3 linked regions of the Kluyveromyces lactis genome follow. The protein of the gene in region 1 interacts with the protein of each later gene in a pairwise test. Links are inferred from orthologs where the notes say so. Each region holds a gene or a part of one and is shown in the gene's direction. Other genes may lie near its edges.

Evidence for each region.
Region 2: the proteins of NAM7 (region 1) and DBP2 interact in a two-hybrid assay, tested with the Saccharomyces cerevisiae proteins (2 studies listed by BioGRID). The link is inferred for Kluyveromyces lactis from reciprocal best matches to the Saccharomyces cerevisiae genes NAM7 and DBP2.
Region 3: the proteins of NAM7 (region 1) and XRN1 interact in a two-hybrid assay, tested with the Saccharomyces cerevisiae proteins (2 studies listed by BioGRID, with this or other methods). The link is inferred for Kluyveromyces lactis from reciprocal best matches to the Saccharomyces cerevisiae genes NAM7 and XRN1.

What each region holds. Positions count from the first base shown.
Region 1 is NC_006038.1:567,035-570,793, forward strand, and holds the start of NAM7 (ATP-dependent RNA helicase NAM7), read left to right. Parts: upstream 1-873; coding exon 874-3,759. Other genes in the region: MBR1 (Mbr1p), read left to right, coding at 1-390. UniProt on the Saccharomyces cerevisiae protein: RNA-dependent helicase required for nonsense-mediated decay (NMD) of aberrant mRNAs containing premature stop codons and modulates the expression level of normal mRNAs. Also capable of unwinding double-stranded DNA and translocating on single-stranded DNA.
Region 2 is NC_006042.1:2,215,478-2,219,239, reverse strand, and holds the start of DBP2 (DEAD-box ATP-dependent RNA helicase DBP2), read left to right. Parts: upstream 1-1,110; coding exon 1,111-2,383; intron 2,384-3,394; coding exon 3,395-3,762. Other genes in the region: DNA-directed RNA polymerase core subunit RPC19, read left to right, coding at 302-685. UniProt on the Saccharomyces cerevisiae protein: ATP-dependent RNA helicase involved nonsense-mediated mRNA decay and ribosome biogenesis through rRNA processing. Associates directly with chromatin, correlating with transcriptional activity.
Region 3 is NC_006042.1:2,093,881-2,096,104, forward strand, and holds the end of XRN1 (chromatin-binding exonuclease XRN1), read left to right. Parts: coding exon 1-1,716; downstream 1,717-2,224. Other genes in the region: BUD13 (Bud13p), read right to left, coding at 1,813-2,224. UniProt on the Saccharomyces cerevisiae protein: Multifunctional protein that exhibits several independent functions at different levels of the cellular processes. 5'-3' exonuclease component of the nonsense-mediated mRNA decay (NMD) which is a highly conserved mRNA degradation pathway, an RNA surveillance system whose role is to identify and rid cells of mRNA with premature termination codons and thus prevents accumulation of potentially harmful truncated proteins.

The sequences.
Region 1 (3,759 bases):
TCCAATGGATCAAGATCGTCCATTAGCTTATCTACAAATGCCATTCCAACACACTTATACAGCTTGGAGAGATACGTAAGTTCTGAATTGGATTCAGCGACGGAATCCTTCTTTGATAAGTCAAAACAATTGTCAGACGAAGCTTCAACTCATGGAACAGAAGACACCGTCTCTTCATCGTTGGCAAAAATGTCATTACGAACTTCACCTCAAAGTTCAAATAGCACAATTGCCAATCCAAACACCTACACTAATAGAACCATACCAGAAATACCGTCAGGAACTCAATCAATTAACCAATATTCATCTTCACATCCACCACCATTTTTGGACGCAAGAAAAAGAAGAAAGTCTTTCATTGAACAGGCTTTATCAGAGAGTTTCTCATAATAAAATTCACAACCCCAGTCTTCAACCACCCTCAGTTACCCCAATCATAATCATCAGTATACCCTCATGCATCAAATATATAAACGTAATAGGACATAGACTGTCACCTAATCACTATTTAATTACCCGACTTTTGCATGCATTTGCTGATTCTTTTTTTTTTTTTTCAGTTTGTGTACTTCACATCTCATCTCACATCTCATCAGAAAATGCATCAACTTCCATACATAAAAGTATTTAATCATAATATGCTTCAACAGTTATTATTTCCTATATCACTTTATCTGTATTTTCAAGAAGTTCTGTAAATTGAGCATCTATCAATGTGCTGAGTAACATATTTTGATTTGTGACTCTGACTCATTTCTTGCGAACTTTTTTTTTTGGTTAGTTCGATCTATTCTGTTCAAAGCTATTCTTTGAAGTAGATTGTACACGACTGGTGCCTTTATTATCTCAGTACAATTAGAATCAAGTTTCCTTATGACGATGCGTTTGCCAAATGAACCGTTTGATTCAGATTCGGACTCAAACGAATCTGTTTCTTTGAGAGACGATGACGACAAAAACTTTTTCTACGATACTGATGAGATGCTGGACGAGGAATACTCTGAGTTCCACGGCACTGCTGCTAATACAGATCCTATTGCGGAACATGCTTGTGCATATTGTGGTATTGATAATACTTCATGTGTTGTCAAGTGTAACATTTGCAGCAAATGGTTTTGTAATTCGAAAAATGGTACTAATAGTTCCCATATTGTGAACCATTTAGTTTTATCCCATCATTCTTCAGTTTCATTACATCCAGACTCAGAGCTAGGAGATACTACTTTGGAATGCTACAATTGTGGACGTACTAATGTGTTTGTTCTTGGTTTTGTTCCGGCTAAGAGTGAGGCTGTTGTGGTCTTGTTGTGCAGATTGCCTTGTGCTAAAATGAAGAATGTTAATTGGGATACAGATAACTGGCAACCACTTATTGAAGAAAGGAAGATGCTATCTTGGGTGGCAGAAGAACCAAGTGAAGAAGATCAGTTGAAGGCCAGGATGATTACTCCATCTCAAATTACGAAATTGGAAGCAAGATGGAAATCAAACAAAAACGCTACAATTATGGATATTGATATGGTCGAACAAGATGAAGATATTCCTCCGACTTTGATGAGATACACTGATGCTTATCAGTACCAAAGATCATTTGGTCCTTTGATTCAGTTAGAAGCAGATTATGATAAGCAATTAAAGGAATCACAGGCCTTAGAACACATCTCTGTCACATGGGATTTAGCATTGAACAACAGACATCTAGCTACTTTTGCATTATCCACATTCGAATCTAACGAATTAAAAGTTGCCGTTGGTGATGAGATGATTTTAAAGTATAGTGGTCCACAACATGCAGATTGGACAGGAAAAGGTTTCATCATCCAGCTACCAAACAGTTTCAAAGATGAATTTACTCTTGAATTGAAACCAAGTCAAAAAACTCCACCAACTAATTGTACTACAGGATTTACAGCAGTTTTTGTATGGAGGGGAACTTCTTATATTAGAATGCAAGAAGCGTTAAGAAAATTTGCTGTCACCAAAAAATCATTATCAGGGTTCTTGTATTATAAGATATTGGGCCAAGAGGTTCCAGATGTGGAATTTGATGTAGAATTACCCAAAAGCATTTTTGTGCCTCACTTCACCGAGTTAAACCAATCTCAAAGTAATGCTGTGAAGCATGTTTTACAAAGACCTTTATCATTGATCCAGGGACCTCCTGGTACCGGTAAAACCGTCACTTCAGCTACCATTGTTTATCATTTGTCTAAAATCCACAAACAGCGTGTTTTAGTTTGTGCACCATCTAACGTTGCAGTGGATCATCTTGCTGCCAAGTTGCACAGTATGGGTTTAAAGGTAGTACGATTAACTGCTAAAAGTAGAGAAGATGTGGAGAGCTCAGTGTCCGAGTTAGCATTGCATAACTTGGTCAGCAGGTCTGCAGAAGGTAAACTCAAAAAACTTCTCAATCTTAAGGAAAAAACAGGGGAACTTTCCTCATCGGATACCACGAAATTTGTGAAGTTAGTGAGAAAATCAGAAGCTACCATCATTCAAAAAGCTGATGTTATTTGCTGTACTTGCGTCGGCGCTGGTGATAAAAGATTGGACTATAAGTTCCGCACAGTATTGATCGATGAAAGTACTCAAGCGTCAGAACCTGAATGTTTGATCCCTATCGTCAAGGGAGCCAAACAAGTTGTTCTAGTTGGTGATCATCAGCAACTTGGTCCTGTCATTTTAGATAGAAAAGCTGGTGACGCTGGTTTGAAACAATCTTTGTTTGAAAGATTAATTTCCTTGGGTCACATTCCTATTAGATTGGAAGTCCAATATAGAATGAATCCACAATTAAGCGAATTCCCAAGCAACATGTTCTACGAAGGTAGTTTACAGAATGGTGTCACCATCGAGCAACGTACTATTGCAAGATCTACCTTTCCATGGCCAATTCATACTATCCCTATGATGTTTTGGGCTAACTATGGTCGTGAAGAGATCTCAGGCAATGGTACTTCCTACTTGAACAGAATTGAAGCCATGAACTGTGAAAAGATCATTACAAGACTATTCAAAGATGGTGTCAAACCAGAACAGATTGGTGTTATAACTCCTTATGAGGGGCAGAGAGCATATGTTGTACAATATATGCAAATGAATGGTTCGATGGAAAAATCATTGTACATGGGCGTTGAAGTGGCATCAGTAGATGCTTTCCAAGGTAGAGAAAAAGACTATATTATTTTGTCTTGTGTCCGTGCCAATGAGAGAAACACCATTGGTTTCTTGAGTGACCCACGTCGTCTAAATGTTGCGTTGACTCGTGCTAAATACGGTCTAATAATATTGGGTAACCCAAGGGCACTATCTCGCAATAGCTTATGGAGTCATCTACTACTTCATTTCAGAGAAAAGGGTTGTCTTGTTGAAGGGTTTTTGGATAATTTACAACTCTGCACAGTCCAATTGACGAAACCTTCTAGGGCACCCAGGAAAGCCCCATCCAACAACAGTAGTTATACACAATATGCTGGTCAGAGAGACTTTGACACTCAAAGTTTGGTCTCATTCGGTGGCCAAAACGTCGTTGAAAAATCTTTTATTCCAAACACGGACTTGTCTTCGTTATTGAACCAACAATATTGGAATGGACAGTCTTTTGATACACAATCGCGCTTAAGTGCTACGCATCCTGTTAACCAATACGATAAAGACGCGGTCAATTTTGATGGAAGTTTATCCAATGGCTTAAGGAAGTACAATGGAGTGGGCTCAAAGTATCAAACCATTGATGAAGAATCAACGTTAAACATA
Region 2 (3,762 bases), on another chromosome or scaffold:
GGTACCCTGAGCGTGGCTATGAGCAACACCTGTGCATTGCGCGGTAACTGATGAAGTGTGTGACACGTGATCTGGTATTTCGCATCAACTTGCTTCTTTCAGTTACCCGGTCAAGACCGGGTAAGCTTTTTGTTTTTTCCTTTAGCATGATTTGGTTTTCCCTCTTCTCTCTATCGAAAAAACCATAATCAATATTGACAAATTGTTCAGCTTAACAGAGTAGGTCATCTCGTCTTATTGACTGTTTGAAAGAAGTACGCACAAACCACCTAAGTGACCATTCATAAGCGCTCTCGGAAATATGGCTGAAGTGGAAAAGCAAGATGTTGATATGCTAGCAGCTGAACAAAATGATCAAGTTGATCAAGTGGAGGAAGAAGTGGACAGTGAAAAGATCAAACTTCTCACAGAAGCTACTTCCGAAGATGGTACTAGTGCTTCTTTCAGAATAACAGATGAAGATCATACCCTTGGTAACACGCTTCGTTATATGATCATGAAAAACCCGGAGGTAGAATTCTGTGGTTACTCTATTCCTCATCCTTCAGAAAACTTTTTGCACATTAGAATTCAAACATACGGCAAAATTACTGCTGTAGAGGCTTTGCACAAGGGTCTTGGAGATCTAATGGACATGTGTGATGCTGTAGAGGACAGATTCACGCAAAGAATCAGGGAAATGTAGAAATTGGTTATCTCCAGCTCCCGCATTAACTATATATAAGAGAATAGAATTAAATACACAACTACATCATCCTTGTATAATACACTATAATATCTATTGATTCTACGTTTATAGCTACTGGTAATCTAGCACATTGGAAGCACCGTTGGATATACCATTGGCAAAAGTAGCTGGAGTGGCTAATGTAATCACGTGACCATTTTGGTAAATTGGTACATTGGTACAAATTTCTTTTTCTCTCTTTTTTGTTTCTTTTTGAAAAATTTGCAAGTTCCCTCATCGCCCTTTGAAACTAATATATAAGCTGCAAACATTATTCAAACCTGTCTCTGATCCTCGTTCATTCAGTATTACAAGTGTGCATTTTTTTTTATCGTTTGGTTCTCAACATCAAGCAACTTATTTCACACATTATACAGAGAACAATGAGTTTCGGCGGTGGAAGAGATCATCAATTTAACAGAAACAACATGGGCAGCACTCATGGTGACTTCCGTGGTAGCAGAGGTTCTGACAGAAACAGCTACAACAGAGGTAATGACTTCCGCGGTGGCCGTAGCTTTGGTCGTGGTCCATCTCGTGATACCAGAGTTGATTTGGTCGCTCCAAACTGGGACGAAGAACTACCAAATTTGCCAGTTTTCGAAAAGAATTTTTACCAAGAACATCCAGATGTTGCTCAAATGAGTGAAAGTGAAGTTATCGAATTTAGAAAGGAAAACGAAATGACCATTTCTGGTCATGACGTTCCAAAACCTATCAGAAGTTTTGATGAAGCTGGTTTCCCATCTTATGTCTTGGATGAAGTTAAGCAAGAAGGTTTCGCCAAACCAACTGGTATTCAATGCCAAGGTTGGCCTATGGCTTTGTCTGGTAGAGATATGATTGGTGTCGCTGCGACCGGTTCCGGTAAGACCTTATCATACTGTTTACCAGGTATCGTTCATATTAATGCTCAACCTTTGCTATCTCCAGGTGATGGTCCAATTGTTTTGGTATTGGCTCCAACCAGAGAATTAGCTGTTCAAATTCAAAAAGAATGTTCCAAATTTGGTGCTTCCTCTAGAATTAGAAACACTTGTGTCTATGGTGGTGTTCCAAAGTCTCAACAAATCAGAGATTTACAGAGAGGTGTAGAAATCCTGATTGCTACTCCAGGTAGATTGATTGACATGTTGGAAATTGGTAAGACAAACTTGAAAAGAGTCACTTACCTTGTCTTGGATGAAGCTGATAGAATGTTGGATATGGGTTTCGAACCTCAAATCAGAAAAATTGTCGATCAAATTAGACCTGATAGACAAACTTTGATGTGGTCCGCTACTTGGCCAAAGGAAGTTAAACAATTGGCAAGTGACTATTTGCATGATCCAATTCAAGTTCAAATTGGTTCTTTGGAATTGTCTGCATCCCACACAATCACTCAGATCGTCGAAGTCCTTACTGATTTCGAAAAGAGAGATAGATTGGCCAAGCATTTGGAAACCGCTTCTCAAGATCAAGACTCCAAGATCATCATTTTTGCTTCCACTAAGAGAACTTGTGATGAGATCACTTCTTATTTGAGAACTGAAGGCTGGCCAGCTTTGGCCATTCACGGTGACAAGGCTCAGAACGAGCGTGATTGGGTTTTGGCTGAGTTTAGGTCCGGTAGATCTCCTATCATGGTAGCAACTGATGTTGCTGCTAGAGGTATTGGTATGTTATTGAAATTTAATTTTTTCAGCATTGGTTTGAACTTTAGTTTACATTGAGACTATCGTCAAACCTTTCTACTAACTATATTAGACAACTGTCGAAGTCATTTCTTTCGAAATGATCACGATATGCCTTTTTATTCGAATGACACGGATGTTTTCGATTCAAAGGTAAAAAATAATGAGCTGGTCTTATTATTTATCAACGAAATCCTATTGGATTTGGTGCGGACAGAGAAAAGGATATGAAAATACTTTTCATTTTGACTTCCACAATTATTGATAAAGATTTAGAGACTTGACCAGTCCGATGTGATTTGATTTATTCAGATCTCTAGAATTAAAAGTAGATTGGCAAGCTTACTAGTATTCATGACAATCAGGTTTTGATTGGACCGTTGGGTTCGAATGTGTGGTGAAGTAGCTTTTACACAACGTGGTTTTCTCGTTGCATTGAAGGCTGTGATGAATTACCGGACATTCGATACTTTTTCTAATCATGTTATCAATTTGACATCTCTTTGATGCAATTTTGCTGAAAGATGTTCTTTATTTTTAACATGATCGTTTGAGTTAGATCAGATTCGCGTATCATTAATTGTGCTTAGTAGTAGATTGGAACATGAACCTAATGAAATAAGGATTCATTCATTTTAACAAAGAGGTTAAAGAATTAAAAAACTGATAAAATAGCGTCACAGGATGGTTTCCCTGTTATGCAAAGTGTGCATTCAGTTTTATTTTTGCGATTCCTCTTAGTAGTTGTTCCATGTATTCTATGAAGTTAGAAAGAAAAGTACATATTTGCGACATAAGCAAGCCTTACATAAATCTTTGTCTTCCACCGACTATTCTGACATGAATAAGCCGCGCGGGCTAATGTTATAATAAATCGTTGATTGCGCCCTCTGGATTTTATATTCTCATTTGGAAGTGCTTCGAACTTGTGCTGTCAATATAGTTACCATTACGATTTACGAACGAACTTACTAACTTCATTCTTATTCAACAGACGTCAAGGGTATTAATTACGTTATCAATTACGATATGCCAGGCAACATCGAAGATTATGTGCATAGAATTGGTAGAACTGGTAGAGCCGGTTCTACTGGTACTGCCATCTCCTTCTTCACTGAAGGCAATAAATCTCTGGGTGCTGCTTTGATCAAGATTATGAGAGAAGCTAAACAAGATATTCCAGAAGAACTAAGAAGATACGACAGGGGTCAATACGGCCAACATCCAAGATATGGTGGCGGCCGTGGTGGTCGTGGCTTTGGTGGTGGCCGTGGTGGCCGTGGCTTTGGTGGCCGTGGTGATGGTGGTTACGGTGGTGGTGGTTACGGTGGTGGCCGTGGCGGCTTCGGTGGAAACAGATCC
Region 3 (2,224 bases), on another chromosome or scaffold:
TCTAAGTCTTTCAATGAAACTATCGAATACTATCCTTTACAATTAATCGTAGAGGACGTAAAAAATAAGGACGAAAGATATATTGAAAAAGAGCCGTTACCAATTAATAAAGAATTTCCAAAAGGTTCAAAAGTTGTGTTTTTAGGTGATTATGCGTATGGTGGGGAGGCGACCGTTGATGGTTATAATAGTGAGACTAGATTAAAACTTACAGTCAAAAAGGGTTCTCTCAGAGCAGAGCCTAACATCGGAAAAGTTAGAGCGAAATTGGATTCTCAAGCCTTGAGATTCTACCCAACACAAGTGTTTTCAAAAATAGCTCGTGTCCACCCTCTCTTCTTGTCAAAAATTACTTCAAGATATTTGGTCAATGATTCTAAAAAGAAAAGCCATAACGTCGGTTTGATGATCAAATTCAAAGCAAGAAATCAAAAAGTTCTCGGTTATGCCAGATGCAGCTCAAACAAATGGGAATACTCTGACGTCGCTCTTGGTTTGTTAGAGCAGTTCAGATCTACATTCCCTGAGTTCTTTGCGAAACTTTCTAACTCGAAGGAACAAGCAATTCCATCGATCACTGATCTCTTCCCTAACAAATCTAGCGCGGAAGCTGATTCCATTTTGAAAACAGTGGCTGATTGGCTCTCAGAAGCAAGAAAACCATTCGTGGTGGTGTCTTTGGAAAGTGATTCGCTAACCAAGGCTTCGATGGCAGCTGTTGAATCTGAAATCATAAAATACGTTTCTTTACCAGATTCAAGCGAGCAGAAGAAATTAGCTAAGGTCCCACGTGAGGCAATCTTAAATGCGGAATCGTCATATGTTCTATTGCGCTCCCAAAGGTTCCACTTAGGTGATAGGGTAATGTACATTCAAGATTCAGGCAAGGTTCCACTTCACAGCAAAGGTACTGTCGTTGGCTACACTTCAATTGGCAAGAACGTCTCAATCCAAGTTCTATTTGACAATGAAATAATTGCAGGAAACAACTTTGGTGGTAGGTTGCAGACCAGACGTGGTTTGGGATTGGACTCTTCCTTCTTATTAAACTTGTCTGATAGACAATTGGTATATCATTCAAAGGCATCGAAGAGTGCTGATAAGAAACCAAAAGCAGTTCCTAATGATAAGCAAGTCGCCCTCGCAAAAAAGAAGAGAGTGGAGGAACTCAAAAAAAAGCAAGCCCATGAGTTGTTAAATCATATCAAGAAGGATAACGCGGAATCAAATACCGAATCTGGATCCGCTCCGCAAATAGCAGTTAACACTTTAAATCCTTCGGCTGCTAACAACGTGTTCAATGCCGTCTTGAACCAAATCAAACCAGGTTCTCAACAGCAAATTCAACCACCTCCAGCAAATTCTCTGCCTTACAATTTCACTGTTCCCCCACATATGGTTCCTGGTGGTATTCCTCATCCTCTTATGATGCAGCCGCCTTTCATTCCGAATAATGAGCATATTGCTTATGCAGCTCCTCCTCAGTCACAACCTGTACAAAATCCACCATTAGATAAAGAGGCATCCAGGAATCTTAAGAATCTCCTAATTAGAGATGAGAATGGACGTACAGCAAATGTGGAGAATAAAGACTCAGATGATACAAAGAGATCTTCTCATTCTCGTGGCGGTCGTCGTGGCCGTAGTAATCGTGGTCGTGGTGCCTCCGGGAGGGGTGGTCATTTCAAAAATTCTCCTAAAAAAACTGAAACCTGAATGTTGGTTTGAATGGACTATTAACAGTAAATATTATATCACTTCAGTAAATAATGCTTAGTATATAAGAATAGAGACACTTTCAGGTTCAACTTTTCAAAATTCCCGGTTTGTTGTTTGTTCCTTTATTTTTTGATCAGCGATATCGTGACTCTTAGCAAACCACTTAGTTTCAAACCCATTTGATCTATCAACTCCATCCCATCTATAACCGGGAACGATACCGAACCGATTTTCTGGAAAGTTTTTCTCGTAAAGCCTTCGACCCAACAGTGACGTATTCGTTCCTCGCAGGGTGTTTCCTTGATTCAATGGATCTTCGGTTGATAATAATGCACTTTTCTCAGTTTTGCGATCAAGTTTTGATATTTGTACTTCGCCTATATTTCGTATTTTAAGTTCTTCTTCCTTACGTACTTTCGCTGTCAAATTAGCCTTTTCTCGAAGTTTCAATTCTTCTTCGTATCCATCTATTACCTTACCTTTTTCGTCTCTATATACTGTGTTC